Macaca fascicularis: one gene and its partners. The protein of the gene in region 1 purifies or fractionates together with the protein of each later gene. This does not show direct contact. Links are inferred from orthologs where the notes say so. Each region holds a gene or a part of one and is shown on either strand. Other genes may lie near its edges. The genes, in order: TNFRSF10A, CASP8 and CFLAR.

The links.
Region 2: the proteins of TNFRSF10A (region 1) and CASP8 purify together in Homo sapiens (affinity purification with western blotting; 13 studies listed by BioGRID and IntAct, counting the BioPlex papers as one, with this or other methods). This does not show direct contact. The link is inferred for Macaca fascicularis from reciprocal best matches to the Homo sapiens genes TNFRSF10A and CASP8.
Region 3: the proteins of TNFRSF10A (region 1) and CFLAR purify together in Homo sapiens (affinity purification with western blotting; 5 studies listed by BioGRID and IntAct, with this or other methods). This does not show direct contact. The link is inferred for Macaca fascicularis from reciprocal best matches to the Homo sapiens genes TNFRSF10A and CFLAR.

What each region holds. Positions count from the first base shown.
Region 1 is NC_088382.1:26,373,673-26,384,344, reverse strand, and holds the end of TNFRSF10A (tumor necrosis factor receptor superfamily member 10A), read left to right. Parts: intron 1-935; coding exon 936-1,008; intron 1,009-5,021; coding exon 5,022-5,341; 3' UTR 5,342-6,034; downstream 6,035-10,672. UniProt on the Homo sapiens protein: Receptor for the cytotoxic ligand TNFSF10/TRAIL. The adapter molecule FADD recruits caspase-8 to the activated receptor.
Region 2 is NC_088386.1:97,059,560-97,070,366, forward strand, and holds the end of CASP8 (caspase-8), read left to right. Parts: intron 1-2,887; coding exon 2,888-3,389; intron 3,390-4,532; coding exon 4,533-4,668; 3' UTR 4,669-5,075; intron 5,076-5,178; 3' UTR 5,179-5,737; downstream 5,738-10,807. Other genes in the region: FLACC1 (flagellum-associated coiled-coil domain-containing protein 1), read right to left, coding at 6,697-6,823, 7,497-7,606, 7,735-7,824. UniProt on the Homo sapiens protein: Thiol protease that plays a key role in programmed cell death by acting as a molecular switch for apoptosis, necroptosis and pyroptosis, and is required to prevent tissue damage during embryonic development and adulthood.
Region 3 is NC_088386.1:96,878,748-96,889,554, forward strand, and holds the start of CFLAR (CASP8 and FADD-like apoptosis regulator), read left to right. Parts: upstream 1-4,908; 5' UTR 4,909-5,236; intron 5,237-5,502; exon of another isoform or gene 5,503-6,443; intron 6,444-7,499; exon of another isoform or gene 7,500-7,722; intron 7,723-10,807. UniProt on the Homo sapiens protein: Apoptosis regulator protein which may function as a crucial link between cell survival and cell death pathways in mammalian cells. Acts as an inhibitor of TNFRSF6 mediated apoptosis.

The DNA of each region.
Region 1 (10,672 bases):
GCTCATGTAGACAATGATCTCCTTCCACCTAGACTGTTCCATTTGGTTGCTTTCTTGCATTAGTACCCATTTATTCTAACCAAAAATGTAAAAAATAAAAATAAAAAAAGTAAAAAGAAAGCAAACATTAAAAAGGTCAATAATCTCTAATCTCTCCAGCTTGATAAGGTGCTTTGACGTGAAGAAATGGTTTATACATTTAAAGTGAGAAAATTTAAACTGTCAAAAGGTATTCAGTGAGGAAAGAGAGCATCTTCCACTCTGCAGTGCCCTGGGTTTTCCTCAAGTAACTATGAGATACCATTTCTTGTGATTCTTTGTCCAAATCGATGCATCAGTATATGTGCATACAAAAGACATCATATTATTAACCAATGGTCCCCAACATTTTGGCACCAGGGACCAGTTGTGTGGAAGACAGTTTTTCTATGGACTGGGAGGTGAAGATGGTTTTGGGATGATTCAAGCACATTACATTTATTGTGTACTTTATTTCTATTCTTATCGCATTATAATATATAATGAAATAATTATACAACTTACCATAATAGTGTCAGTGGGAGCCCTGAGCTTGTTTTCCTTCAACTAGGTGGATCTATCTGAGGGTGATGGGAGATAGTGACAGATCATCGGGCATAAGACCCTCATAAGGAGCGTGCATCCTAGATCCCTCACATGCACAGCTCACAACAGGGTTCGCTCTCCTATAAGAATCTAATGTTGCCGCTGATCTGATGGAGTGGAGCTGAGGTGGTAATGCCAGCAGTGGGGAGTGACTGTGAGCTCTGTGGGACTAGAGGTTTTTCGGCATCTCCATGATGACCCAAGAGGGAAAGTGATGTGCTGCAGGTCTCAGGGCTGGCTGGTGGTCAGGGTCAGTACTAGACTGCAGGACCCCTGACTCAGACCAAGGCGTTCTCCACTGTGTGTTACAGGGACCGGCAGAACCTGAAGGGTCTCAGAGGAGGAGGCTGCTGGTTCCAGCAAATGGCGCTGACCCCACTGAGAGTAAGTGTTTTGCTCCTGGAGGTGCAGCAGGAATGGAGGGAATAGGGACAGTGTCCTAAGTGGTGTCCCCATTGCTGAGAATGCTCTTCCAGAGCATTCCATGCCAGAAACGGGGTCCTGTGCTATAAGACCATCAAGGCCCTAAACTGTCTTCTTCCGTCTCTTCTTCCCACTCATTCTTTCTGCATGCTATTAATGACACTAACCATTCTGTCTATCCCCTTCTCCACTTCCTCTCTCCTCCTTTGTTGTTCAGGACCTCCTGAGGAGCTGCGCTGTCCTGCATGGCACAACTGACTTCAGTGGGCTAATAGCTCTTTATCTGTGCCTAAGCCCAATTTGCAGAGCTGTTGTATAAACTACATACTGATTCCAAAGACTTAATGAAAGAAAGAATGGAAAATATTTCACTCATTTGAAATATTTCACTCATTATTTGAGACCAGGGATTGGGTCTAGGTCTTGGTGCTCACTGCACAGAAAGCCAATCACTGAGACAACTATTGACAAGGAAGAAGGCTTTAATTGGGTGCTGCAGCCAAGGAGATGGGAGCTCAGTCTCAAGTTCATGTCCCCAACTGACTAGAACTAGGGGTTTATATAGTAGGGATAAAATGTAACAATGTGTAAGAAAATAGGAACTAGGGAGGAGTAAAGAAGCAATCAAGATGAATGAGGGGTCCCGCATTCCATTGGATGTAGTGATCTGGTAAGTTTCAGTTCTTTGATACTTTGAGAAGCCTGAAGATCATTTCCTGAAAAAGGAACTCAGATAAAACAAATGTAAGATTTGAGCTTTAAGAACAGAAGGGTCAATTTCTATGTTTACCAAAACAACAACAACAAAAAACTTTTGATGGAACTATTGGGTTGATTTCAGGTCTGCCTTTCTATCTGTCAATCCCACAGTCACAGGGAGTCTGGTCCTGGATCTTTCTGGCTGCTTCATGGTTGAGGAGGGGCATTGTGGGAAGCTTCATATCATGGGTGACCTTGAGGCCACCCAGGAATCAAAAGTTAATTTAATACTAGAAGATTGTGTTTCTTCTGAAACACAATCTCTCTCTCTGTCTTGGCCCCACTTCCACCAAAGACAAATTATAGCAGGACCAGTGTACCTGCAAAATAAGTTTAGTTTCATATATGTGGCCTGATTACCCACACAAAGTGCAACAAAAATCACTGTCCACATAGGCTCTCCTAAGTTGGCTTTGCTGGAACCTCTCACAAGGCCACTGCAATCAAAGCCCTGAGAAAATAACCATTTTCTCCAACTGCGTTCCATTGTAAAAGAAAACGTTATTAACCATATGCAAGCAAACACATTGCCATGAATTAATAGTCACAAATAATTTACACATTCTGGAGAAATTAGGCAGAGGGAGAAATATGCTTCAAATTCTGTTTACAAAAGTATACTCAATATACAAAAAGTTCTCCAGACTCTGGAAAACAAAACCAAAAGAATCAGCAATATTTCAAACCAAGAAAAGCCGTAAAAATTATTTCAGTCCTCCATTAGTTTACCCCACACAATCAACTCCTGCCCAGCTTCATGTTTGGTTAACAATCACAGTCTTTATGAACACATCAGTGTGTCTTTTATTTACTTACTTATTTCTGAGAGAGTCTCGCTCTGTCACCCATGCTGGAGTGATGAGGTGCAATCTCACCTCACTGCAACCTCCATCACCTGGATTCTAGGAATTCTCATGCCTCAGCTTCCTGAGTAGCTGGGACCACAGGTGTGCACCATCACACCTGGGTACTTTTTGTATTTCCAGTAGAGACAGGGTGTTGTCATGTTGACCAGGCTGGTCTCAAACTCCTGGCCTCAAGTGATGGACATTCGCCCGCCTTGGCCTCCCAAAGTGCTGGGATTACAGACATGAGCCAATGTGCCTGGCCACACATTGGTCTTTCAGTTACTGCCCTGAAAGTTTTCTCTGTAATCCAATGACAACAATTTTTAATTACATGAAAAATTTACTTAAAACATCCCATTTATATTTACCGAATTCTTTCATTTTTCAGTTTATCCAGATTGCTTCTGAAAATTGAAATATTAGACACCATCATTTAAAGTTAGTTATTTCTTTGTCAACCATTTTTTTAATAGCCAGTGAACATCAGGTGCTCACCTAAGAGCTTCAAAGTTAAATATATAGGCATTTTCACCAATAACTCAGAAGACTCAGCTGTTTTCATTAAACCAACAACATTAAATTAATCTTACTTACAGTTTCCCGTGACTCTAGCAAACACATACAAATAATTATCAAAACATAATCCAACTGCTGCAGCAACACACAAGCCCCAAAACTACCCAGACTGAAACAGGGTGCTTCCTCTCTCCATTGGTTAGGTTTGATCAACCTGCCAACAAAAATTCTTTCAAATTTCTCAAATTGAGAGGAGCCAGTCGTGCTGCCTGGTACCCACAAAAGACACTCACTTGCCCCAACATGACACACAATTACCAACAAGCCCCCAAGAGTGTCCAGACTGAGAGGCAGAGTGCATCCCTTTCAGTTCCAAAGTCTGAACTTGGGCCTGTTCAACCTGCAAATGGAAATTCCTTTACAAATTTCTCAAACTGAGAAGAGCAGATCCTGCTGTCTGAGCCTATAAAGGACAATCACCTATCTGGATGCAAATGCCAAATTTCAAAGGCAATTCTTCTGAGGTAATCAGGAATGTGGTTGGGGACGGCTGCAGTGGGACCAGAGAGAGACTGAAACTCACTTCCAGCCAAAATTAGTGGGGCAACTGCTTGGGAGGGCTTCTGAGACGCCTGGCCCATGGCAGCAGAACCATGAGCAACACTTTCCCAGCCAGGGAACCAGAATCTGTTACCAAAACCTCAGGGGTTTGGTCTAGGTCCCGCTGCTCACTGCATAGAAAGCCAGTCACTGAGATGATGAGTATTGCCAAGAAAAAGGCTTTAATCAGGTGCTGCAGTGGAGGAGATGGGAGCTCAGTCTCAAATCCATCTCCCTGACTCACTAAAACTAAGGGTTTATATAGCAGGCAAGAAATGTAACAGTGTAAGAAAGTAGGAACTAGAATGGGGCAAGGAAACAAGAGGAATGAGGGGTCCCACATCCCATCATTGTCTGGATGTAGTGATCTGGTGAGTTTCAGTTCTTTGATACATTTTTGAGATGCCTGAATGTCTTTCCTGAGGAAATACTTCAGATAAAACAAATGTAAGTTTCAAGTGGTTAAGGACCAGAAGGGTCAATTTCTATGTTTATCAAAAAAACCTTTCTATGGGACAATTGAGTGAGTTTCAGTTTTTGTATATTGGTTGCATATTAAATTATATTTTACACATATTCAGTACCACACATCAAAATGAATGTCACTTTTTTCTTTTTTATGTTCTTTAAATGAGGCTGTTAGAAAACATAGCTTGGTATTCCTGGCCCTTTCTATCCCTGTGGATGGTGGTGTGCAGTGCTTTGCACACACATCTCATTTCATTTAATCCCTGGTAGTCCTGAGATCTGGGCAGGATTGCTCTGTCTTCAGGTTTGCTTCTTGGTCAGGGCCTGGTTGCCCCCACCTAGCTCTGCCCCAGACCCTGCACTTCCCACAGATGCAGAAGTGGCCGCCCTGGGACCTGCTCCCATGGCAAGCGCAGCCCAGGCAGCCTCCCTCCTCTGAGCTCCCGCTGCAGCCACTCTCTCTCCCTTCCTCGGGCTCTCACCCACTTTGCTTTCTGCCTCCTTAGGGTCCATCCATTCTCCCCAGGTGGGTTCTCAGCCCTCTCTGAGGGCAGATTCTCTGGTGACCTTGGTGTCCGTCAGTGCCTTGGGGGCCACGGAGACCGGGCAGTGTGGGCGGGCTGTCTGTGAATGGGAGGTGGGTGGGCAATGGAGCAACAAGTTTGCCCATGCAAGGGGCTCTCCAGGTTCTCCTCTTGGGTTCTGGGCCTGATGTGGGAACCTCTGCCCCTTCTGAACTGAGTCCCAACTCACCAAGCTGTCTCTGTGGCTTTCTCCACCCAGCTATGATGCTGTTCTTTGACAACTTTGCAGACATCGTGCCCTTTAACTCCTGGGACCAGCTCATGAGGCAGCTGGGCCTCACAAACAATGAGATCCACATGGTAAGAGCTGATACAGCAGGCCCAGGGGATGCCTTGTATGCAATGCTGATGAAATGGGTCAACAAAACTGGACAGGATGCCTCGATCCACACCCTGCTGGATGCCTTGGAGAGGATAGGAGAGAGACATGCAAAGGAGAGGATTCAGGACCTCCTGGTGGACTCTGGAAAATTCATCTACGTGGAAGATGGCACAGGCTCTGCCGTGTCCTTGGAGTGAAAGACTCTTTTTACCAGAAAGAGTGTTAATAGTTTTTTTGTTTGTTTGTTTTGTTTTGTTTTGTTTACATGTATATAAAATAAATACTTAGCTGGGTGTGGTGGTATGCCTGTAATCCCAGCACTTTGGGACGGTGAGGCGGGTGGATCACTTGAGCTCAGGAGTTCAAGACCAGCCTGACCAACATGGTGAAACGCCGTCTCTACAAAAAAATACAAAAATTAGCTGGGTGTGATGGTGCGTGCCAATATTCTCAGCTACTCAGGAGGCTGAGGCAGGAGAATCGCTTGAACCCACGAGGCAGTGAGCCAAGATTGCACCACTACACTCCAGCCTGAGGGACAGAGCAAGACTCCATCTCAAGATAAAATAAACTTGAAAGAATTATTGCCCGACTGAGGCTCATATGCCAAAGAAAAATCTGGTTCTCTCCTGAGCTGGCCGGTCTGCTTGGGTCTCCATGTGTTTCCTTATCATGGTGGTTAATTGTAGGTGCTAATGTGAATGGATTAAAGAACACCTAGAGCACTGGTAAGGCATTATTTCTGGGACATTATTTCTGGGCATGTCTTCGAGGGTGTTTCCAGAGGGGACTGGCGTGCAGTCGGGTGGACTGAGTGGAAAAGACCCACCCCTAATGTTGGGGGACACCATCCAATAGACTGGGGAGCCAGATAGAACAAAAAAAGAAAAGCAAATCCATCTGATCTCCTGGAGCTGGGACACTCTTATTCTGCCTGTGGACATCAGACTCTAGGATTTCCAGCCCTTGGACTCCAGGGCTTATATGAGTGGCCCCCCGAGGATGTAAGGACTTTGGTCTTGAACTAAGAATTACACCATCGGCTTCCCTGGGTCTTAGGTTTTTGGACTGGATTAAGCCCTGCTTCCAGCATTCCAGGGTCTCTGCTGTGAAGATGGCCTGTTGTGGAACTTCTCAGTCTCCATTATGAGATGCATTAATTCCTCCAATAAGTCCCATTTCATATAGAGTCATTTGCTCCACAACAACATTTCAGTCAAGGGAACAGCATATAAGATGGTGACTATCCAGTAAGCTAAGGTTAATTTATTAATTATTTAATTTATTTACCGTGAGTTCAAGTCACAATTGAAGTACATGTACCTTTGGAGATTTGGACTTTTGTATATAAAAATACTATTTTTTTGGCAGGGGTAGGGGGGAGCTCTCATCTTAAACAAATGTGTTATTTGGTGCCTATGCAAAGATTTGGCTAAAAGGAAGAAAAGAATTGCTTCCGTAAATCAAGCATTTTCTTAGAAAAATGGGAGCCCACCTAAATGTTTTTCAAGCTCACGTGATCCGAGGTAATCTTTAGTATATGAAAAGCTAGTTTAAGTTTCTTGGTTTAATTAAAACAGACAATTCTTCAGAGTTGTCAACATTATATACAGTTCACACATACAACTTCTACCTGGATTTACTAATCAAAACACTTATGTGTCTTTAAGATCATAAAACTGTAAATTCAACTGGAGAACAAAATGTACAAGGAAAGTATAAATTTCTTGATGTATATGAAACACAAGAATGAAAAAAAGGATTGAAAAGAGTCATATATTTTCAATGTATGGTTCTTTGTATTTTGTTTGTGTGTTTTTTATATGTTATGTGTTTGTTTGTTTTGTGTTTTTTATGTGTTATGTGATGTTTGTATCTTTTTTTTGTTTCTTTTTTTTTTTTTTTGAGAGTCTTGCTCTGTCGCCCAGGCTGGAGTGCAGTGGTGTGATCTCAGCTCACTGCAAGCTCCGCCTCCCAGGTTCATGCCATTCTCCTGCTTCAATCTCCCAAGTAGCTGGGTCTATAGGCACCCACCACCACGCCCGCCTAATTTTTTGTATTTTTAGTAGAGACGGGGGTTCACAGTGTTAACCAGGATAGTCTCAATCTCCTGACCTCGTGATCTGCCTGTCTCGGCCTCCCAAAGTGTTGGGATTACAGGTGTGAGCCACCGCGCAAGGCCATTTCTTGTGTCTTTTTTGGTATGGTTTTTATAAGGTGTCTACTTTTAAGTATTTTTATATTTAATTTTGGTAACTTAAAAATCTTAGTTATATTAACCTAAGTTAAATGAAGGTTATTTGTATTAGTCTGTTTTCTGTTGCTATCACTGAATACCTCAGAGTAGGGAGTGGGTAATTTATAAAGAAAATCAATTTATGTATTATGGTTCTTGGGGCTAGGAAGTCCAAGGGCAAAGGGCCAAACCTAGGGAGGGCCTTCTTGCTGACGGACTCTGATATGGTTTAGATCTGTGGCCCCACCAAAGTCTCATGTTGAATTGTAGTCCCCAGCGTTGGAGGTGGGGCCTGGTGGAGGTGATTGGATCATGAGGGCAGATTTCTCATAAACGTTTTAACACCATTCCTCTTGGTACTGTCCTCCTGACAGTGAGTGAGTTCTCATGAGATCTGATTGTCAAAAAATCTGTGGCACGTCCCCATTCTCTCTTCTCCTGCTCTGGCCATGTGAAGTGCTGTCTCTCCCTTTGCCTTCTGCCATGATTGTAACTTGCCTGAGGCTTCCCTATTTGCCAAGCAGATGCCAGCATCGTGCTTCCTGTACAGCTTGTGGACCTGTGAGCCAAATAAACCTCTTCCTCTTTATAAATCACCCAGTGTCTGGTATTAATTTATAGCAATGCAAGAACAAACTAATACAAAGTCTCTGCAGAGTCCCAAGTTGGTGCAGGACATTATAGGGCGAGGGGACACACTGAGAGGCAAACAGGCTTTTATAACAGAGTCACTGTATTAGTTTGTTTTGCATTGCTATAAAGAAATACCTGAGCCTGAGTAATTTATAAAGAAAATAAGTTAATTAGCTCACACTTCTGCAAGCTGTACAGGAAGCATGGCGGCTTCTGCTTCTAGGAGGCCTCAGGAAGCCTCCAATCATGGCAGAAGGCAAAGGGGGAGTGAGCTGTCTCACATGACCAGAGCAGGAGGTAGAGAGAGAGGGGAAGGTGTCACACACTTATAAACAACCATATACTGGCCAGGCATGGTGGCTCACGCCTATAATCCCAGCACTTTGGGAAGCTGAGGCAGTGGATCACCTGAGCTCAGGAGTTCAAGACCAGCTTGGCCAACATGGTGAAACCCCGTCTCTACTAAAAATACAAAATTAGCCGGGCATGGTGGCATGGTGGCGGGTGCCTGTAACTCCAGCTACTCCGGAGGCTGAGGTGGGAGAATCGCTTGAACCCAGGAGTGGAGGTTGCAGTGAGCCAAGATCGCACTGCTGCACTCCAGCCTGGGCAACAACGCAAGACTCTTTCTAAAAACACAAAAATGAATAAACAAAAAAACTATGAGACAGAAAAGATGGGTTTTTGCTAAAATAAAAAATAATATTGTTTTAGTTTGGAAGTTATTCAAAGGTTGTTTCAAAATGAATCACTAAATAACAGATCAAACTGAATGGATATTGTCTCAGTCTGATTTGTGCTACTATGACAGAACACCTGAGACTGGGTGATTTAGTTAAATATGGAGATTTGTTTTTTACTGCTCTGGAGGCTTGGAAGTACAAGGTCAAGGGGCCCCTATTTGGCAAGGGCCTTCTTGTGGCCTCATCACCTGGTGAAAGGTGGAAGGACAAGAGGGCATGCATGAGAGGAAGGGAAAACATGCAAGAGGGGGCCAAACTCACTTTTATAACAAATCTACTCCTGCAATAACGAACCCACTTCCACAATAATGTATTAATCCATTCATGTGGGAAGTACCCTCATAATCCAATCATCCCTTAAAGGTCTCACCTCCCCCCACTGTTGCATTCAGAATTAAGTTTCCAACACATGAACTTTGGGGGGCACATGCAAATCACAGCAGAAATAAAAAGCTGAAAGAGAGAAAACGAGAGAATCCTATGTGCTCAAGTTGATTAAACTGAATGAATTTATTATATTACTTTTAAAAATGAGCCTAAATACTGAGAGTGAACTGACACAGAACTAGAATTTGAATTTCTCTGTTAAAAGGACAAAACAGGCTGGGCGCAGTGGCTCACGTCTATTATCCCAGCACTTTGGGAGGCCGAGGTGGGTAGATCAACTGAGGTCATGGGTTTGAGACCAGCCTGGTCAACATGGTGAAACCCCATCTCTACTAAAAATACAAAATTAGCTGGGCGTGATGGCAGGTGCATGTAATCCCAGCTACTTGGGAGGCTGAGGCAGGAGAATCACTTGAACCCAGAAGGTAGAGGTTGCAGTGACCTGAGATCGGGCCATTGCTCTCCAGCCTGGGTGACAGGTTGAGACCCTGTCTCAAAAAAAAAAGCACTACAGAAGGTTAAGTGAATGTAAAAAACCTTTTAGATCTCAGTTTTTCTAAGCAATTAAAAACCTAATAAAGGCAACAAATGAGTTATTATTATTACTATTACTATTATTTTGAGACAGGGTCTTGCTCTGTAGCCCAGGCTGGAGTGCAATGGTGTGATCATGGCTCACTGTAGCCTCCACCTCCCCGGGATCAGGTGATTCTCCCACATTAGCCTCCTGAGTAGCTGGGACTACAAGCATGTGCCACCATGCCCAGCTAATTTTTTTAAAATTTTTATTTATTTATTTATTTATTTATTTATTTATTTATTTATTTATTTTGAGATGGAGTCTTGCTCTCTCACCAGGCTGGAGTGTAGTGGCGCGATCTTGGCTCACTACAACCTCTGCCTCCCTGGTTCAAGTGATTCTCCTGCCTCAGCCTCCCAAGTAGCTGGGATTACAGGCACGTGCCACCACGCCTAGCTAATTTTTGTATTTTTAGTAGATGGGGTTTCACCATGTTGGCCAGGATGGTCTCGATCTCTTGACCTCGTGATCCACCCACCTCGGCCTCCCAAAGTGCTGGGGTTACAGGTCTGGGCCACCGCGCCTGGCCTAATTTTTTCTTTTTGGTATTTTTTGTAGCTATAAGGTTTTGCCATATTACCCAGGCTGATCTTGAACTATTGGGCTCAAGCAATCCACCCACCTTGGCCTCCCAAAGTGCTGGGATTACAGGCATGAGCCACTGCACCTGACTGGGAATTATTTTGATAAAATGTAAAATGTTGTTTCTTAGGCTGATTACGAGAAAGGGAAAGAAAAACCTGCAGTCTGACTGTTCCTCCTTATGGAAAGCCCATCTAGAAAATGCTAGTATTTTCTCTTGATAGACAGTTCAGTTCAGGACTTTTTGCTTCCTAGTTTTCACTAAAATTTAAAGTTACTAAGGATAACAATTGTAGTTAGTGTATAATTCTGTACATAAGATTTGCCAAAGAAGATGGGTTCTTATTAAGAAAAAGAATAAATTTGT
Region 2 (10,807 bases), on another chromosome or scaffold:
GAGCTTTCAGTTGACTTTTTAATGGACTAATTAGTCAATTTATGAATGGACAACCAAAGGTCAGCAGGCGTTTGAAGAAAGCCTCTAATACAAAAGAGAGGCAGCTGGGTACGGTGGCTCACGCCTGTAATCCCAGCACTTTGGGAGGCCGAGGCAGGCGAATCGCCTGAGGTCAGGAGTTCAAGACCAGCCTGACCAACATGGTGAAACCCCATCTCTAATAAAAATACAAAAATTAGCCGGGTGTGATGGCAGGTGCCTGTAATCCCAGCTACTACAGAGGCTGAGGCAAAAGAATTGCTTGAACCTGGGAGGCGGAGGTTGCAGTGAGCCGAGATTGCACCACTGCACTCCAGCCTGGGTGATAGAGCAAGACTCTGTCTCAAATAAATAAATAAATAAATAAATAAATAAGAGGCAATGAGAACAACAAGAAAAACATGAAACAATATGAATGAAACAAAGACAATGTTGAGAAAAAAGCAAGCTTTTTTTATTGCTTAATATTGGTATTTAATGTTCTTAGAGAGTTAAAGTTCCATAAAAGAACAAGATGTTATGAAACAGGGACAGAACAAGAAAGACTCCTTGAAAATTAAAAATATGAGCACCAAAATGAAAAATTCAATAAAGTAGAAGACAAAGTCTCAGAAAGTAGTATAAAAAGACAAAAATAGAAAATAGGAGCAAAAGATAAGAAAATTTGAAGCTGAATCAAGGATGTCCAATTTTTGACAATAAGAGTTCCAGAAAGAAAGGACAGAGAAAAAAGAAATGGAACTTTCCAAGAACGAAATGACACAATCTCCAGATTGAAAGGGTATAATGGATTAAGAATCACTTCCAAACATATCATACCCTAGAAGCTTCTGGAAAGAGAAAAAAGTAAGCCAAATATGTGAAGTATCAGGAATGAAAAGGTCTTCTCTCTAGCAACACTGAAAGCTAAGATTGTGAAGAAAAGCGTTCGGAATTCTGAGGAAAAATGCTTTTGGAAATAGAACTCTATGAAGTAAAGACTCATACAAGGGGTCAAAAAATGTACTCCTCGTGGTTATGCTCCAGCAAAGGAAACTAATAAGAAAGAGGAAGTCATCGATGGAGGAAACAGATAATCTACTATGGAAGAGACAGAGAGATGTCCCAGGAGAAGATAAATTCATCTGGCCTACAGAACAGCCAGTTGGTATTACAGCAGAAGGATGCAGTGCTCTGGATGGAAAGTTTTCCAGGAAGAAATAAAAATGAGTCAGACAAGTAGCCTGAAAATGTTGAAAGATTTTGGCCAGATCCATTAGAGCACTTGGAGAAAAAATAGTGTTAAGCATATAGGAAACAAAGCAGATGAAAAAAATAATACAATTACTAATTCCAGGAAAGGCAAAAAGGTTAATAAGGAAACATAATGAAAGAACATTATGTTTACATAGTCTTAATAATAGAAATATTAGTATGGGCCGGAGGTGGTGGCTCATGCCTACAATCCCAGCACTTTGGGAGGCCATGGTGGGTGGGTCACTTGAGGCTAGGAGTTCGTGACCAGCCTGGCCAACACAGTGAAACCCTGTCTCCACTAAAAATACAAAAATCAGCTGGGTATGGTGGTGCGTGCCTGTAGTCCCACCTACTCGGGAGGCTGAGGCAGGAGAATTGCTTGAACCTGGGAGGCAGAAGTTGCAGTGAGCTGAGATTGTGCCACTGCACTCTAGCCTGGGTGACAGAGTGAGATCTTTTCTAAAAAAAAAAAAAATTAAAAAAAATATTACTATGGATTCAACCAAAATTCTAAATAATTGTGTAAGAGCACCAAATGCTTATTCTCCATAATAAGAACTCAATGCGAAAATCTAAAATTTATAAATGAGTAATTAGCAGTGTACCCAAATTCATTACAAAATGGAGGTTAATGTGAAAAAAGAGTGGTTAAAAATTGGAAGTGGTTGCCTTCATGGAATGTGACTAGGTAATAGTGAGGGATAGAGAGGGGATAACCTATTGTAAAAGGTCTTTTAGTTCTATTTTATTAATTCATGTATTTTATTTTGCTAAACATAAATAATTTTGAGAAGGTTTAGGATAAAATAAGTTGGATCTTCTATTCAAAAATTGTTTTGTTTTTCCTGATTATGTAAATAATATAGTCATTTTAAAAATTGGTTCAGTAGTAAGCCTAAATGATAACTTACTCATCTTGTAAACTAGTTGAGTAGAGAAAACAGACCAACAGTAACTCTCTGCTTTCTCATTTGCCCCAGGGTTTGAGAATGTTTTTAGCTGGTGGCAATAAATATTCGAAGCCTGCAGAATCCAGCTACAAACATAGAGGGTTTTGCTCTTGAATTTCTGGTTCAAATCCTTTATTTATTTATTTATTTATTTATTTATTTATTTATTTATTATTTTACTTTAAGTTCTAGGGTACATGTGCACAACGTGCAGGTTTGTTACATATGTATACATGTGCCATGTTGGTGTGCTGCACCCATTAACTCGTCATTTACATTAGGTATATCTCCTAATGCTATCCCTTCCCCCTCCCCAACCCCACAACAGGCCCCGGTGTGCGATGTTCCCCTTCCTGTGTCCAAGTGTTCTCATTGTTCAATTCCCACCTATGAGTGAGAACATGCAGTGTTTGGTTTTCTGTCCTTGTGATAGTTTGCTGAGAATGATGGTTTCCAGCTTCATCCATGTCCCTACAAAGGACATGAACTCATCCTTTTTTATGGCTGCATAGTATTCCATGGTGTATATGTGCCACATTTTCTTAATCCAATCTATCATCGATGGACATTTCTTATCTATCAATGTTATGCCCACTGTGCTCTCCAGCTCTGGTCTGTGAATTACTGTGGTATAACGTGACTGTTCAAATTTCACTTTTCAGAGGCTTTGACCGCGACCTTTGAAGAGCTTCATTTTGAGATCCAGCACCACAATGACTGCACAGTAGAGAAAATCTATAAGATTTTGAAAACCTACCAACTCATGGACCACAGTAACAAGGATTGCTTCATCTGCTGTATCCTCTCCCATGGAGACAAGGGCATCATCTATGGCACTGATGGACAGGAGGCCCCCATCTATGAGCTGACATCTCAGTTCACTGGTTTGAAGTGCCCTTCCCTTGCTGGAAAACCCAAAGTGTTTTTTATTCAGGCTTGTCAGGGGGATAACTACCAGAAAGGTATACCTGTTGAGACTGATTCAGAGGAGCAACCCTATTTGGAAATGGATTTATCATCACCTCAAACGAGATATATCCCGGATGAGGCTGACTTTCTGCTGGGGATGGCCACTGTGAATAACTGTGTTTCCTACCGAAACCCTGCAGAGGGAACCTGGTACATCCAGTCACTTTGCCAGAGCCTGAGAGAACGATGTCCTCGGTAAGTTTTGCCTACTCAGCCCACCTCACTGTTACACTACCTTCCCCTCCTACTCCATCACCACTACTATCTACTCACATTCAGAGACTATTAGAAAGTGATATGTGGTTTAGATGACATCAACAGGTCAGAGAACTGTGCAAGGGGAATGGTTTCCATTCATCTCTAGATGTCTAGCTGTGGATCACATAGCTGCACTTCCCAGGTCAGTTACAAAGTGGGAGAGTGGCAAGTGTTGACATCCTTAGTTTATAGATGGAAAAGCTGAGATGTTTTATTCCTTTATTCAGCACCTCAAAGGACAATCAGGGTGTCACAGAGCAGGAAAGACTGGTAAAGTCATATAGTCCAGCTCTCTGTCTTTAGGCCAAAACATGAGTGAGCCAATTCAACTAGTTTTGGAAATCTTCCAAAGAAGGCAGTAACCCAATTCAATGTTTAACATCCTCCAACTCTGTCAAAAGTTCTATAAGAGCAAACCATCCTTAAAACCTCTTGGTGCATTATGGGAAATAAACAGCAGGTTCCTTTTAGCCCTGTATTTCATGTTTTGAGTATATGAAGAGTGAGAATTTCCCACAACTTAGATCATGAATCTAACTTAGATTTTGTAACTTAGATCATGAATCCTGCAAGGTTTCCAGGGCTAGCTCCGAGGTAGAAGAAGAGGTTGCCTAACAAAAACGCTAAGAGATCCTGGTGAGAAGAAGGTGGGAGTAGCTGCAGGAGACATTGTACTTTCACTTGCCTTAAGTTTAATTGCATCAAAGATGAATCCACAGATGCAATGTCAACTTGAGGCAGAGAGTATTGGGGGGCATTGAAGCAACTGTGGGAGCCAAGTAACATGGAGAAGAGTGAGATACGCACAGGTCAGGAGAGAAAGAAATCAACTCTAATACTGACACTGAGGTTTCTGACGGTCAAAAGAGTTCCTGAATAAACCAAAAGTAAGTTATTAAGCTCTGAGACAACGCATTTACCACGAAAGCTGGGGTAGGTCTTGGTTTAGCAACTTATTGTTTCAAATGACTGATATTTTGAGAGAAAGAACTACAGAACTATCTCTGAGCACAGCAGAGGAGACAGTTCATCAGTTGCTTTCCCCCACAGATAGTCACAATGTTATGTGATGTCTTTCAGAGGCGATGATATTCTCACCATCCTGACTGAAGTGAACTATGAAGTAAGCAACAAGGATGACAAGAAAAACATGGGGAAACAGATGCCGCAGCCAACTTTCACACTAAGAAAAAAACTTGTCTTCCCTTCTGATTGATAGTGCTATTTAGATATACAACACTATGTTTATTTACTAATTTTCTAAGTAGTTAATTTATTAGTTTTGCACTTTTTTGTAAGAGCTAAAGTTAATAGGATATTAACAACAATAACACTGGCTCCTTTCGTTCATGCCTAGGGCTTTGGGAATGTTTTTACCTGGTGGCAATAAATACCAGATGCCTGCAAAATCCAGCTACGAATATAGCTGGATTTTGATTCAAATTATTATCAACATTAAGCCCACTGTTAATATTCTATTAACTTTAATTCTTTCTTGAAGTCAAATTCCACACTACCACATCAAAAAATATTAGACAATAGCCACCTATGGTGGCTCATGTCTATAATCCCAGCACTTTGGGAGGTTGAGGTGGGGGGATTACTTGAACCCAAGAGGTCAAGGCTGCAGTGAGCCATATTCACACCACTGCACTCCAGCCTGGGCGACAGAGTGAGACCCTGTCTCGAAAAAAAATTTGAGACGGGGTCTCACTCTGTCGCCCAGGCTGGAGTGCAGTGGTGCAATTTCAGCTCACTGCAACCTCTGCCTCCTGGGTTCACGCCATTCTCCTGCCTCAGCCTCCCAAGTAGCTGGGACTACAAGTGCCCACCACCACGCCTGGCTAATTTTTTGTATTTTTCAGTAGAGATGGGGTTTCACCATGTTAGCCAGGATGTTCTCGATCTCCTGACCTCATGATCTGCCCGCCTTGGCCTCCCAAAGTGCTGGGATTACAGATGTGAGCCTCCATACCCAGCCAAAAATTTTTTTTAATAAAACAAAATTTTGTTGAAATCTTTTAAAAATTCAAATTATTTTACAATTTTTACATAATTTATCCCCAAACTTGCTTTTTGCCTTCTTTTGCTTTCATGATGCATATAGGCTTGGCTAACTATATTTGCTTTTTGCTAACAATGCTGTGGGTCTTTTTATGCATTTGCATTTGCTCTTTCATCTCTGCTTGGATTATTTTAAATCATTAGGAATTAAGTTATCTTTAAAATTTAAGTATCTTTTTTCAAAAATATTTTTTAATAGAATAAAGTATGATTTGATCTTACTGCTCCTTGGAGATTTTTTTGTGTTTGATTTTGGTTTCTGCCAATGACATCTCACAGGTGGAAAACATCTGGACCACAGGCATGTTCTACTTGAGTCTCCCATGATTGGTACACACAGTTGTATTTTTAGAATTTGTTGTCAACGTTTAAAAATTAGGAGATATCACATAAAAACCAGGATACCTTCTTTGAAAAAATAATAATATCTGACAATATTGACCTCATGCTTTTGCATGGCAAAGGTCTGAGAAGCACCTTCTTCAGATGAGACAGTGCTCTGCAGGTCATTCTTCTCCACCCGTTGTGCCCCAGCCCTGCCCAAGCCCCTCTACTGAGGCTGCTGTCAGTTGTCACTTATGCTTATGCAATTGTTTTCCTTGTGTCTAGCCCACTTCACTTATTTATGTTGCCTGCCCTGTGGGTGTCTGAATTCTGGTGATGGTCCAGAGAAGGTGGTAAGAATCATCAGAAACCCTTCCTAAGTCATAGGTCAGGGAACATGATTGAGAGGTAGGGAAGTAGGGGGCATGGGTATGAGAGAAAAAGGTTTTAGAATAAAATCAACACATCATCTTTTTTTGCTACCTAAATGCCCCAGGGGACAAAGGTACACCCCCCCCCCCAAATATAGTAAAAGTTCAATAGGAAGAAGGCTTTCAAATCTATTTCTTTCCTATGAAATACATAAAGGTGGAAGAAAAATAGTACAAAACTCAGAGAAAGCTCAGCTCCCAGTACGGAGAGCATCATTTTTCAATGAAGCGTCCGTGATAAGCTGTGAAATTCAGATGAGAATTCAAACATTTTCAGCCACTCAGAAGAGAGCAAAAATAGAGTCAGAGCAACCCAAGAACTAAACTCATTATACACATGTTCTGAAGAAAACCCTGCCGGGAGTTTCCGGGGCCTACAGAAATGGTGTGCCGACCATCTTCAACAATGGAGAGCGACTTTATGTTTATGATTCTTGTCTTTTCTTGCTACCATCTTCCACAGTGTCAGAATCATCCTTAGAAACAGTGATAGAGGCCAATCTCCCAGAATATTCTTCATACATTTCTTCATTCTTAGAAATTACCTTTTGCCTGTAAAAAGAAAGGAAAGATGTATCAATGTCAACTCAAAAGCTAGAAAGGGTATAGGATATTTGGGGTGCGGGGAGAGCAATGTGCCTTCATTCCTTCACCACAGCAGTCTCTCACTCATTCCAGTGGTTTTGAATTTAGTAAGGTATGGTGTTCAGGTGACTGAAGTCCTGTATGAGGAATTTTCTACTAAATCAATGCAATAAAAATAACTTTCCTCTATTAAAGTATTGACCAAAATTTATTTTAATGATTTAAGATGCAGCTTCAGGTAACAGTACACCTTCTGATCCAAAGCTGATTTCCATAGGAACCAGAAGCAGCTGCACGTAATGGTAAGACCATCAGACTCCCAGGGGAGATGGATTTAAAAACCATCCTCAGTCATAGAACTGAGCAAACTCAGAAACTGGGAGATAAATTTCCTGTGTTGGTTTGCACAGCAACAAGGACACAGGTGAATGGGAGAAGTGTAGACACATCTCTACTCCACCTCAAGTGAACTATCTGGCTTTGTGTCGCTGGCCTGCAGTGACACACCTCCCTCCTGAAAATGCCTGTGCCTTGACATAACTAGGGAGCACTTGGTCTATCTTCCTAACCCATTCCTCACTCAAACTCCTTCCCACTCCTAAAGAGAACTCAGCCATGTCTTTTTCAGCAGCAGCCGCACTTCAGATGAATGTTCTCTTCCATCAGGATCTGTATGGTGTACTTATACTTTTCTTCAGTTTCAGCACACTTGGTTTGAAGCATTTTCTCCAGATTTCCCACTATAGCTTTCTGAAAGACAAATATTTTAAAGCCATCTTCCCCAACCCAGAGCCATCCAGGGCAGAGCTATACGGCAGAGCTGGACAGAGACCTAGGTTCTTCCCCCAACCCCCATCCCCACTCTAGCAGGGACTCACCTCTTTTTGGAGTTCCACCTGGGTATAGTAGAGGTTTGCGTTAAGTGACTCTAGGATGAGGGCTTGTGCATGCAATTCTTCCTCCATGACCTGCATAAGAAGAATTTGTTGCAGGACATCATGCCGATGTCTATTTATTTAGTTTCTTCTCCAGGGCACCTGGACTGTAATGCAAGGGAGCAACTTGAGCTACTTTTGCATCACTCATGGCCACTCACACCCTGTCAGTCCTACCTCCTCCTTGTCTCACTCATGTATATCCTTCTCTTCAGCCTCACCAGAGCTCACATGAATGGTTACAATGGCAATCAGTTATTCATTCACTAAGCAAGTTTTTATTAAATACCTACTACTAATTGCAACTATACGACACTCTGGAAAAGGCAAAACTATAGAGACAGAAAAAAGATTAGTGGTTTCTAGGGATTTGGAGGGCAAGGGAGGGATGAATAGGTGGGGGAGAGGGCACTTTTAGAGCAGTGAAACTATTCTGTATGACACTGTAATGGTGGCTACATGACATGATATATTAGGCAAAACCCACAGAATGTACAACACAAAGAGCCCTAATGTAAACTACGGACTTTAGTTAATAAGAATGCATCCACAGTGCTCATCAACTGCAACTAATGTGGCACCCCAATGTAAGATACTACTAATAAAGGAAACTAGTGGTGGGGTGGGGTGGGGTAGTATATGGGAACTCTGTGTACTTTCTGCTCAATTTTTCTGTAAACCTAAAACTGCTCTAAAAAGCAGCTTCTTGAAACAAACACACAAACAAACTTCCACTAAAGAATGAATAGAAGCCTGTGGAAAGGTCCTTAGAATGCAAAATGCTCATTGTGTTTGAGGACCCAAAGGAATACCAATATGGGTGGAATAGAGACAGTAAGGATAGAGGGCCATGGTGAAGAAATACAGGGGAGCCTGGTGGCACCTGAGAGGACAAGGTAACCTAAGAACAATGGGGACCCATTGAAGGGTGTTAAGCAGAGAAGTGAATGCATGTATCTCACTTGCTTATATTATGCTCCAGGGGATGGACTGGAAGGGCAAGAGGGAAAGCAACGGAACTAAGGAGGAGAATACTACGGTCATGTAGCTGAGAAATAACGGACTAGGGTAAGGTGACAACAGAGTTGGAGGGACGTGGATGAATGTGGAATATGTTATAGAGGATTGGCTGAGGCTGCTGGGTTGAATTTGGGAGAGTGAAAGGAAAGAAGAAATCAAGGATGACTTCAGGTCTAGGCTTAGAACAGCTGAGGGAGTTGACAATTTTGGGGCTAAATCTCTGGTGGATAATTGAGAGTGTGGAGCTGGGCATGTTAATTTTGAGGTGCCTGTATGTCACCTATGCTGAAATGTCAAATGGGCAGTTGGATGTACAAGCCTGGAGCTCAGGAGAGAGGCAAAGCTGGAGGTATCAACCCAAATTATCAGCACAGAGATGGCTTTTACATCTGTGTGAACAGATGAGCTCTCCAAAGGAAAAACGGGAGATAAAGAAGAGAAGGGGGCCTGGGAACCAGCCTCAAAATACTCCAGGACTTAGAAATTAGGTGGGAGAACAATGGGGTGACATTGAAGGGTTTTAAGCAGAGTTCTAGTTCTAGTAAAGAAGATTGAGAAGGTGTGACCAATGAGGTGAAGGAAACGCCAGAAGCCCATGAAAGTTAAGAGAGGTGAATGTTCCAAGGAGAGAGTGATCAATTGAACCTGATACTGCTCATGTCAAGTGAGGTGAAGCATTCTTTGGATTTGGAAACTCAGAAGTTACTTGTGATTTTAACAAGAGCAGTTTCCATGGCTGGGATGGGAGCAGAAGTCAGGTTGAGGTGTAAATGGGAGATGATCCTTCTAACAGGTTCTGCCTCCTGTCATTTTGATTCTTCAGATTCTCCTTCACATTGCTGCCACAGTTGTTTCCCCAAATAATACTCTCCTCCTCAAAAATCTCCAGTGGCATCCCATTTAGAGAAAAGCAAGTGTTGGGGCAGGGAGTGGAGCCCTTAAATAGGGTGGCATCTGAGATGGTGGCATTTGAATAAAGACCAGGAGGAGGAAAGGAAGGAAGTCATGTGGATATCTGGGAAAGAGCTTTTCAGGAAGAGAGAATATCAAAGCCCCCAAGGTAGGAGCATCCTGGCCTGTTAAGGAAACAGCAAGGAGGCAAGTGCCTCTGGGGTGGAGTGATGGAGGGAAGAAATAGAAAGAGACATGGTTAGAGGAAGGAACCACCAGCAAGGAACAGGTAGAACAATCCCCAGAGCCAACACAGGGCTGGGAATAGTTCATGGTCCCACCAGGCAGAGTAGAAAATCCTTCTCATACAGAGGGTGTGGTGTCGAGTACTCAGAGGGTATTACCTCAACAGTGAGGGAAAATTAGTTCCACACTAAACACTGCTTTAGTTCTGCCCAACAAAGCTTAAAAAGCAAGGCTCGAAAGGATCAAACTGTTTCCAAGCAACTTAACTATATCCCAGGGCAAAGCTCAAGATTATCTAAAGGAATATAAAAATATTCAGCACCCAACAAGGTAAACACCACAATGGCTGACATCCAAGCCAAACTTAACCAGGCATGCAAACAAGGAAGTATGACCATAAATGAGGAGAAAAATCAATGAAGAGAAAGAGACCCAGACATGACACAAATGACAGAATTAGTAGACAAGCTCATTAAAATAGTTATTATAATACACTGGGTATATCTTCCTCCAAAACCCATTTCTTGAACTTGTAGGACACCACAGTCTGTTTACCTTTCAATGATGCTGAAGCCCTGCCTGGGCTCTAAGATACAATTCATTTATAATGCCTTTATAATGACTAATATTTTCTCAAACATGTCCATTCTGGATCCAAGTCAAATTCTCAGTGATGGAAGAATCACACATCACCTTGTGGATTTGAACAGTTCCTCTTCAGTTGTCTCCCACAGACTGCCATAAATTTGTCCCAGAATAGAGTCTCTGAGGAAGTCATCGTGTGTGAGGTACACTCAGAGTTTAAGGAGGGGCTTGGTGACAGAGTTCCAAAGGAGACAGTTTTATACTTTTCAGAGCT
Region 3 (10,807 bases), on another chromosome or scaffold:
CAGGGTTTCACTCTGTCATCGAAGCTGGAGTGCAGTGCTGTGCTCATGGTTTACTGCAACCTCAACCTCCCTGGCTCAAGTGATCCTCCCACTTCAGCCTCTTGAGTAGCTGGGATCACATACATGCATCACTACACCTGGCTAATTTTTAAATTTTTTTGTAGAGACAGGCTCTCCCTATATTGCCTCGGCTGATCTTGAACACCTGGGTTCAAGTGTTCCTTCTGCCTTGGCTTCCCAAAGTGCTGGGATTATAGGCATGAGCCACCATGCCCAGCCAAGAATATATTCTCATAGAATGTCAGAGGAGTTGAGGCGGGATGTGTGACTAAGAGAGTAGATATAAAGTCATTGCTGTGGCTATTAATTCTCTACTTCCCAAGTCACCCACTGTGATATAAGGAAAAGCATTAGATAAATTCTTGGCATCCTGTCCTAGTTCTGTCACTAGCTAGTTGTGAGATTTCTCAATTTATTAACTCACTTTAAGCCTCAGATTCTTCATCTGAAAATTGGGTCGTGGTTGAGGGAGTGAGATAATGTTTGGATTAGATCAGTTGTTCTGAACTGAACTGTATGTTGAAATCATACAGGGAGCTTTAAAAACTACTAATCCCTGAGTCTCACTCTCAGAGATTTTGATATAATTAGTCTGGAATGGTACCTGGCCACTGAGGTTTTTGAAGCTCCTTGGGGACAGTCTAACGTGCAGCCAAGGTTTACCACCAGTGAATTTGACGAAAACGTGAACATTTGTTGCTACTTTGTGAAGTGTGGAAAGAGAAAGTCAGAGAAGCTTAAGCAATACTGCCCTTGGACCCAGGCACTCAGGGTCCTGTTGTGGGCCCTGATTTAGAAGGGCCTTGCTCCAGCTCTTCTTGGGCTGTGCCCTTCCCTCAGGTGGGGAGAATGATCAGAGGTGGGAGGAGTCTGCAAGGTCAAGAGGACATGCCCACACTGAGACCCTCTGTTTAAAACCTTCTTTGGGGCTGGGTGTGGTGACTCTCATCTGTAATTCCAGCACTTTGGGAGGCCAAGGCAGGCAGATCACTTGAGGCCAGGAGTTCAAGACCAGCCTGGTCTTGACCTCGTCCTGACCTTGTCTCTACTAAAAATACAAAAATCAGCCGGATATGGTGGTGCGCGCCTGTAATCCCAGCTACTTGGGAGGCTGAGGCAGGAGAATCACTTGGGCCTGAGAGGCAGATGTTGCAGTGAGCCAGGATTGCACCACTACACTCCAGCCTGGGCGACACAGCGAGACTACGTCTCAAAAAAACAAAAACAAAAAACCCTCTTTGGGTACCCAAGACCTGATGTTCTCTACTCAAAGAGCCCTGAGCCTCCCACCAGGGCCTACATTGGCCTCTTCCCCAAGTCTATACCCCAGGGACAAACTGTGCTGCAAGTATGCACATCCCTAAGCCCAAGGGGTGGCTGATTGTAAGAGGATGTAAATGGAAAGTGGACTGCAGGTGGGAGTGTCAACATAGGTGTATAGTCATTCTTTGAGGGCTGCTGAAGTCAAAGGATGAGGATGGCACAGGGGTAGGGGGTTAAATGCCTGCTCCTACTGGTTTGCCAAATGGGATGACAATATGGGCTTCCAATGTGAGCCAGAAAAAGCCCTCAGGGAATGACATATGGATATGCTGGGTTAGAAGTCATACTGGTGTGTGTTGAAGTGGTGAGAATCAGTGGGCATGCAAGGTGGGCCTGGGGTAAATCCACTGTGATGGTTCTACTGACAACCAGAAATGGCTTTCACTTGGGATAGGGTGCGTTGGAGGTGGTGATGGAGGTGCTAAGCTAGGTGTTCTTGAATAGTAGTTTCCAAATTAAGGACAGGTGCTGATCTGTAATAAAATTTTCTTGGTGTACTGAAAAGATAAGAAAGGCCAAGAGCAGCGGCGGTCATGCCTGTAATCCCAGTGCTTTGAAAGACCTAGGCAGGAGGATCGCTTGAGGCAAGTTCAAAACCAGCCTGGGGCCAGGTGCGGTGGCTGAAGCCTGTAATCCCAGCACTTTGGGAGGCTGAGGCAGGCGGATCACGAGGTCAGGAGATCGAGACCATCCTGGCTAACACGGTGAAACCCCGTCTCTACTAAAAAATACAAAAAACTAGCCGGGCGAGGTGGCGGGCGCCTGTAGTCCCAGCTACTCTGGAGGCTGAGGCAGGAGAATGGCGTAAACCCGGGAGGCGGAGCTTGCAGTGAGCTGAGATCTGGCCACTGCACTCCAGCCTGGGCAACAGAGCAGACTGTCTCAAAAAAAAAAACAAAAAACAAAAAACAAAACCAGCCTGGGCAGCATAGCAAGACTTCCCCCAACCCACGACCTCCACTTCTACTATATATAGTGTATATATATGAACACGATACATATACTATATAGTATATACATATATACATATATATACACACACACATGTGTGTGTGTGTGTATATATATGTATTTTTTTGAGATGGAGTCTCGCTCTGTCTCCCAGGCTGGAGTGTAGTGGCATAATCTAGGCTCGCTGCAACCTCTGCCTCCTGGGTTCAAGCAATTGTCTGCCTTAGCCTCCTGAGTAGCTGGGATTACAGGCGCCCACCATCACACCCAGTTAATTTTTTGTATTTTTAGTAGAAATGGGGTTTCACTATCTTGGCCAGGCTGGTCTTGAACTCCTGACCTCGTGATCCACCCGCCTCGGCCTCCCAAAGTGCTGAGATTACAGGCGTGAGCCATTGCGCCCGGCCACAAATTTTTTTTTTTTTTTTGAGACGGAGTCTCGCTCTGTCCCCCAGGCTGGAGTGCAGTGGCCGGATCTCAGCTCACTGCAAGCTCCGCCTCCTGGGTTCACGCCATTCTCCTGCCTCAGCCTCCCGAGTAGCTGGGACTACAGGCGCCCGCCACCTCGCCCGGCTAGTTTTTTGTATTTTTTAGTAGAGACGGGTTTCACCGTGTTAGCCAGGATGGTTTTTTGTATTTTTTTAGTAGAGACGGGGTTTCACCGTGTTAGCCAGGATGGTCTCGATCTCCTGACCTCGTGATCCGCCCGTCTCGGCCTCCCAAAGTGCTGGGATTACAGGCTTGAGCCACCGTGCCCGGCCTCAAAATTTTTTAAAAATTAGTTGGGCATGGTGGCACCTGTAGTGGCACACCTAGCATGGTGGCATGCTAGGACCTCTAGTCCTAGCTACTCAGGAGGCTGAGGCAGAAGGATCCCTTGAACTCAGGAGGCAGGAGGTTAAGGCTGCAGTGAGCTGTGAGCGGGTCACTGCACTCCAGCCTGGAGTGAGACCCTTTCTCAAAAACAAACAAAAAACCAAACTTGGATAACTGACAAACAGTTTAGTATTTAATTACATGGAAAAACCAACAAAACAAGACAATTATTAACTCCAGAAAAAACTAAAAGTTGTGTGGGAAAGGAAAAGTAATCATAGTTTGGTACATAACTTGGCTGTGACTACCGTTTACATGATTATAATAGCATATGTACTGAAGATTAATCAAAATCAGAATGTAACTATCTTGGGAAGATGGAGAGATTAAAAAAAAAAAAAGGTTGGGGGTGAATATGGGGTGAAAGTAATGGAGAAAAAGAGCTAAAGTCTCCTCTTGTGTCTCAGCACTCCACCCAAGGTAGAGCCTCTGAATGGAAGGACTTTGCCACCTCTCCACCACACTTCCCCAGGATTTAGCTTCAGCATCAGGTAGCTAGGGGCAAGATGAGAAATGCTGACATGCTGGTCTCTGACTGGGAGCTGTGGGAAGACAGAGGTTCTTAGTTGCAGCCGTCTGGAGTGGAGTCTGTCTTGCTGCACAAAGGCAGAGGTTTGCTTTAAATACCACAAACTCTCACATTCTGATGCAAGAATTTTTATAGATTTTTTGGAATACATGTTTCTTCATTTGCTGTTTGCCCTTAGGACCATTTCAGACGCTTAAAATAGTTAATGGTTGTTTGTTGTTTTAAATAATTTTCAGTTTCACTAGGGGTGAATCCTGAGCTCTTCATGCCGTCCTGCAGTTAGTCTCTCTTGGTATTATTCTTCACCTTTCCTGTGAGTTTAAAATTATTTCAAGAAAAGTTAAAGCTTTTTAAGAATCACAATAAAGTAGATAGATAATAGGAATAAATAAAAACTTAGCGGGGCGCGGTGACTGACGCCTGTAATCCCAGCACTTTGGGAGGCCGAGGCGGGCGAGGATCACTTGAGGCCAGGAGTTGGAGACCAGCCTAGCCAACATGGTGAAACCCTAAAATTAGTCGGGCATGATGGCCTGTGCCTGTGGTCCCAGCTACTCGGGTGGCTGAGGGGGTTGGATGGCTTGGGCGCAGGAAGTCCAGGCTGCAGTGAGCCGTGATGGCGCCACTGCCTTCTAGCCTCGGCGACAGCGCGAGACCCTGTCTCAAGAAGGAAAACAAAAAACAACATACACACAAAAAAACCACAAAGTGCGTTCACGTTTGCTATGACTCCCAGACATCAAATCATAAACACTCGCGCCTGGCTGGGTGGCTCACGCCTGTAATCCCAGCAGTTTGGGAGGCCGAGGCGAGCGGATCACAAGGTCAGGAGTTCGAGACCATCCTGGCCAACAGTGAAACCCCGTCTCTAATAAACACAAAAATTAGCCGGGAGTGGTGGTGCGCGCCTGTAGTTCCAGCTACTCGGGGGGCTGAGGCAAGAGAATAGCTTGAACTAGGGAGGCGGATGTTGCAGTGAGCTGAAATTACGCCACTGCACTCCAGCCTGGGCCGCAGAGTGAGACTCCGTCTCAAAAAAGAAGAAAGCAAGCAAGCAAGCAAAAAAAAAAAAAACCCAAAAAACCTCGCAGTGTTTACTCCTAACGCGTGGAACTTATGTCGACATCCACCCTCGGTTACTGCATACTCAGTCACACAAGCCAAAGCAGGAAACAGCGAGTTGGCAGCCTCACCGACGAGTCTCAACTAAAAAGGACTCCCGGAGCTAGGGATGGGGACTCGGCCTAACACAGTGAGTGCCGGCTATTGGACTTTTGTCCAGTGACAGCTGAGGCAAAGCCCAGGGCTATCCAAAGACCACGGGAGGGGGTGTGGGAGAGAAGCGCTGCGAACAGCCATCGCCCAGCACCGAGTCCGCTTCCGAGTCCGCTTCCAGGCTTTCGGTTTCTTTGCCTCCATCTTGCGTGCGCCTTTCGGGCGTCTAGGGGAGCTAAGGCTGAGGTGTCAGCGGCAGGAGAGTCCGGCCGCGACAGGACGGTACGTGCCCCACGCTCTACCCCCCGCCGGCGGCGCCGGAGCTGTCCCAGACCCCAAGCCCCGACGCCCAGCCCTGAGTCAGCGTTGCAGCAGGCCCTGAGCCGCCGCGCGCCCACGCGCCCACGTCCCACTCCTGCCGCTCCTCACAGCCCTGCGCTCCGGGAAACTGCAGGTGGCCGGCAGTGGCCAGGGGATGGCGGGGGCGCTTCTGGAACCTGACTCAGTTTTGTAGATTTCTTATCTCGGTTGTTTACCGCGGGCTGAGCGGAATGCCCCCGCTTCCGCTTCCGCCCCGCTCCGAAACCCCGAACCCTTTCTGCTGGCAACTCCGCCCCGGATTCCCAAAAAGGGGCGACCTGGGCCACTGCGGTCCGAGCTTCACCCCAATGGACCTGAGAGACCGGAAGTAAACCTTGGCTAACTCTAGCCGCCCCCTGCAGCCGCAACCGCAGAGGCCCACCCGCGAGCTTCAGTGGCGGGTCCTCAGCGTTGTGTAAACTTTGCTTAAAATGATCTTGAGAGTTCAATTCTTGGAGTGAACTGTTGAGAAGATCTGGCACTTTTCCTTTCGAAAGTTGTTGGGAACGTGGACTTTCCCAACAGTTGTGTGTGCGTTCGACCTCACTCAGTGGGAGCCGCCGCCCTGTAGGGAATTTAACAATAGCCTAGTCAGGGCTGTTATTTTCCAGAGCAGTTTAATATCTATTTTGCCCAAGTGCAAGGAAAGCTTGCCTTGGAAAAGCTGGGAATGCCTGACTGAAGAAACGTTTTTAGAGCCTTTTAAAATGAACCTGTTTCTGCCATTTTTCCACCGCTTCAAAAGGACTGGGAAATGTAAAATGACTTCAAGATGTTCTTACTTGAGAGTGTCCGGATTTGGACAGAAGGCCATGTTCTTTTAATATTAACAGTGGCACGCAGTAGAACAAAGGCCACTGAAATTCAGAATTAGTTTTTGGCTCCACGGAGTAGGAAGTAAATTCAAGGACGCCAGAGGTCTTACGAATGTTTTAATTGGTTGACATTTGAAATTTGTTCTTAAGCAATGAGGGGTGAAACCAGTAGGGGGTTAGCATATAGCATAAGTAAAGCGTTTTGAATATCAACAAACTGCAATAATCTAGAACTGAGAGCGGGCTCTGGAAGGTTTGACCTGCTTTAGAGAGAGATTTCAGATAAGAAGAACGGAGTTTTTGGCCCTTTTCGGGTTGGTGATTCCCCTAAATAACCTTACAAAAGTTTTGTTTAACAAAAAACCTGGCTCGAGCTCCAAGATCTTTTTTTTTTTTTTTTTTTTTTTTTTTTGAGACAGAGTTTCACTGTTGTTGCCCATGCTGGATTGCAATGGCACAGATCTCTGCTCACCGCAACCTCCGCCTCTCGGGTTCAAGCAATTCTCCTGCCTCAGCCTCTCAAGTTGCTGAGATTACAGGGATGCACCACCATGCCCTTAATTTTGTATTTTTAGTAGAGACGGGGTTTCTCCATATTGATCAGGCTGGTCTCGAACTCCCGACCTCAGGTGATCCGCCCGTCTCGGCCACCCAAAGTGCTAGGATTACAGGCGTGAGCCACCGCGCCCGGCCCAACTCCAAGATCTAAACAAAAAAGACTGGGTCGAAAGGGAGTTTTGAATGTTTACTGTTTGCTTTACATACATTTAATGTTTGTAAATGTTTGCTTTACATACATTTTCTTGTTTTGTTAATACTTGTTTTACTTACAGCTTTTGGGTCAAATGTCCTCGTTAAAATGGCTTTCTCTAGCGACTTTATGTTTTACGTTTCTGTTTGTAACTGACATTTGACCTCCTTACTTGCTTCCTTACACCGGTTACTTGCTTCCTTATACTTGCTTGCTTCCTTGTACCGGTTTCCAAGGTGAAGCCATTTGCAGGGTCGCTGGGTTTCCCCCTACCCCCGAAAGTCTTGCATGACCCGGGGTGGGCGGGATTACGTGCAGTTTTTTGAGCCTTGGGCTGGGGGCCTCCAGGAAGCTGAAACGGAAATTGCCTAGGCCCCTGGGGCATCGGAGGTCCTACCGCAGCTCCTAGTAGGTGGTGGGGGCCCACCGGCGGTCCCCACTCAGTCCTGGTGGGGCCGCACGTAACTGTCCTGAGATATGCATAAGCCCTTTGACCACGCATGGAGAATATCACCACCCAGAGACACGCGAGTGGCCCTGTGCAAGTTTCAACTGCGCGGGGGCGGGGAATTCCGCAGACAGGATTCGAGAATTTATGTCTTGTAACATTTCAGCCGGTGGGCGGCGGGGATTAGGCGTGAAGCGGTTCAGTAGGCAGAGGTTTTCGGACGCCCTCCGGCGAAGCCACCTGTTGATATATTTGACTTTCTGTCCTCGTTCCTCATCCCATCTGGAGCATTTCCAATTCTGCTTTTGCGGAGCAGCAGGTCTGAGCTTGTACGGCGAGGGTGGGAGTTGGTCCCGGCGGAGATCCAGTGGGAAGAGCCGACGGCTGCCCGGGCGTGAGTAGATGAGAATCCTGCCCGATCCCCGCCCCGGGGCTGGTGTCGCCCTGGGCTCCTGAGACGTTGGGGCACTGTCCCCCGATACTGGCAGAAAAGGATTGAGTCCTCGCTTTTGGCCCTAGGTCTCCTCCTTGAGCCTCCAGTGGACTCACAACACTCCGAGGCATATTGCTCTTTCAAATACCAGGAATGGACTCTGGGGAATGGGGCACCCTTGAAGTCTGATTATTTCTTCCCTGTAGAGCCCCAGGGGCTAATTAAACTCGTGTTTATGGACTCCAATGCCTCCTTGCCTTTAATTCAGTATAATCCTACCAGCATTTATTGAGCTTCTCTGGGCCAGGTAGAGTTCTGGGTGCCGAGGACATAGAAATGGATCTAAACTTGGTTCTTGTCCCCATAACCTCACAATATGGTTGAGGAAGACTCAACAGTTACCTAAACACAGGTAACTTCGAGTTAAGGCAGTTTAGACAAGATCCACTGACAGCCTGCCTGGAGGAAGCCTGTGGGCCATGGTGGGGCAGTTATGACACCATGGGTTCTTTTTGTTTATTTGTTTGTTTGTTTTGTATTTTCTTTTAGTATGCCCAGGTAACTTGCAGAACCCAATCGTTCTTTCTTACTATAGATCGGTGAGGTGAAAAGCACTATCATTATTGGAATGCCCTGTATCTCCCTTATACTCTCCTCCTGGCATCTCCCCTCAGAAGACTTGACACCCCACCCTGGTGCCCTTTCTCTGTACTTTCATATGCTCAGCGGCTGTCTTTGCACTTGCTTCAGGATCGTACCTAACATTCTGTACTGTAATGCATTTTCTTCAGACACTCTTCAGTCAAGTTGTATTACAATTACCTGGGTTAAAATACATGCAAAGTAAATAGAGAAAACCCCCAGGGGTTCTTTCCCTACAGATAACCAAAGGTTTCAGTGTAATGTTTTGTTTTGTTTTGTTTTGTTTTTTTACCACATTTGTGCTCTCAAATACAGTCTTTTACATATTTTTTTTAAAAAACACTCATAATATTTTTGTTTTCTAGTTTGCAAAATATTTCATTTTTTAAAATTGTGTTTATTTACAACCTGCTTTTTTCTAAAAAAGATTCAAGGTGGGGCCTTTTTTTTTTTTTTTTAGGTGAGATCTTGCTTGTTGCTCCGGCTGGAGTGCAGTGGTGATCATAGCTCACTTCAGCCTCTAACTCTGGGCTCAAGCAATCATCTCACATCAGCCTCTGGAGCAGCTGGAACTACAGGTGCGCACCACCACACCCAGCTACATTTTTTTTTTTTTTTTTTTTTGAGACAGAGTGTCACTCTGTCGCCCAGGCTGGAGTGCAGTGGTGCTATCTCTGTTCGCTGCAGCCTCTGCCTCCTGGATTCAAGTGATTCTACTTCGAAAATTGCTTGCTTTTCTACACTTGTTCTGTATTTTGGTCTCCACTTCTAGCCACTTTCTTTTTTTGGTGATTTAGGTTTTTGGCCCAAATAGATAAACATCTTCTACATTATTTTTCTCTTATTCTCGATACTGAGTTGCCATCTTTGTTGATTTAGTACTTGTTATGAAAGAGAAGCTACACACCACTTGATACTACTTTCATCTGCATACTCAAGATAATTTGTATCTTCTGCAGTGAACTCTTCAGTTGAAGAAGTGAATCATTTATATGTATATTTATATACTTTAAAAAATGTAATTGAAAAATCCTCTCATAGTTACTTACTCCAAGGTTTAAAATGTTTCCCAGGGTAATGAGTTTCTTTAGTCATGTGACTTTAGAAATGGGAACCAAAGCTACCTTACCTACTTGTGAAATTCTTGAGTTTTCTCCTTGAACTTCCTTTGTATCTTCCCTTTGGCTTATATATCTGTGTTTTTTGTTTGTTTTTACTTGCAGCTTTCAAAAGTAGTTTTCAAAGTCAATGAGATTGTTTAAAAGAGTAGGTACCTGACAGTCTCTTGCTTGAATACTATCTGGTGAGTAAACCAAATTCCCTGCAACAATAACCACAACTTTGAATCAAGAGTTAAATGAAAAAAGTAACTCCTTCACCGTTTACTGAGCACCTACTGGGGCTAAGGAATGGGAGCACGTAGATCTCTCTCTGCTATCTGGAGCTCCCTTTCTGGTTGGAAAACAGAAGCAGCGCAAAAGTTTCACTCAAAACCTTGGCCATGGTATGCTATTGAAACCCCATAGTTCAGATTTTATACTTGACTTGAGTTCTATTCTAAGCCATGGCTGGATTATTTTAATCTGGCAAATAATCATAAGGCTGGATTATTTTAATCTGGTAAGTAATTATAAGGTTGTGCTCCGTGATGGAGCTGTTAATAAAATATGTGGTAGCACAGGCAAGTTATATATAGCACAAAGCTATATCCCCAGAGGAGACACTATATCAGTTGCTGTCTGCCTAGGCTTACTGTAAATGTGCTGGCTATCATTCAGCCTAAATGTAGAATGAGTCTATCCCTTTAACCTGGGTAGTCACCAGGAATGTCAAGGAACCTAGAACAAGGAACCAGGCAAGAGATGAGAAACTAGGGGGACGGATGTGTAGGTACCAGGGATGGTGATGAGACTGAAGCAAGTGGGGAATTTTTATTTTTAATTTTATTAAATTTATTTAATTTAATTTTTAATTTTAATTTTTATTTTCTTCTCTACTTTTCTCTATTTTCCAGATTTTCTTAGAGCAAAAAGCAGGTAGTGCTTTTTATAGAAAATGAATGCTATATAAAAGTAATTTTAAGAACTTTATATCCCTAGTATCATGTACAATTTCTGACTTTGAACAGAGCTATCTCCCAAAGGGCCAAGTTTGGCCCTTTAGTTACAATGGAGAATCTGTTGTGTAAACTGAGCAAATATACCTGCCAAGTTGAAATTTAATTTAAGCCAATTGTGTCTAGATTAACTTAAGAGAATGTCTCCTAAATATTTTATTGCAGTAATGTAGCATAATTGATAGTATGCTATTCTCTTGAATAGATGGGATTGTTTCTTGAGCCACTTTTTATTCTTTTGATCAAAACCTTGAGGAGAAGGAATGCCTGTTTTCCTGACTGCTGTTG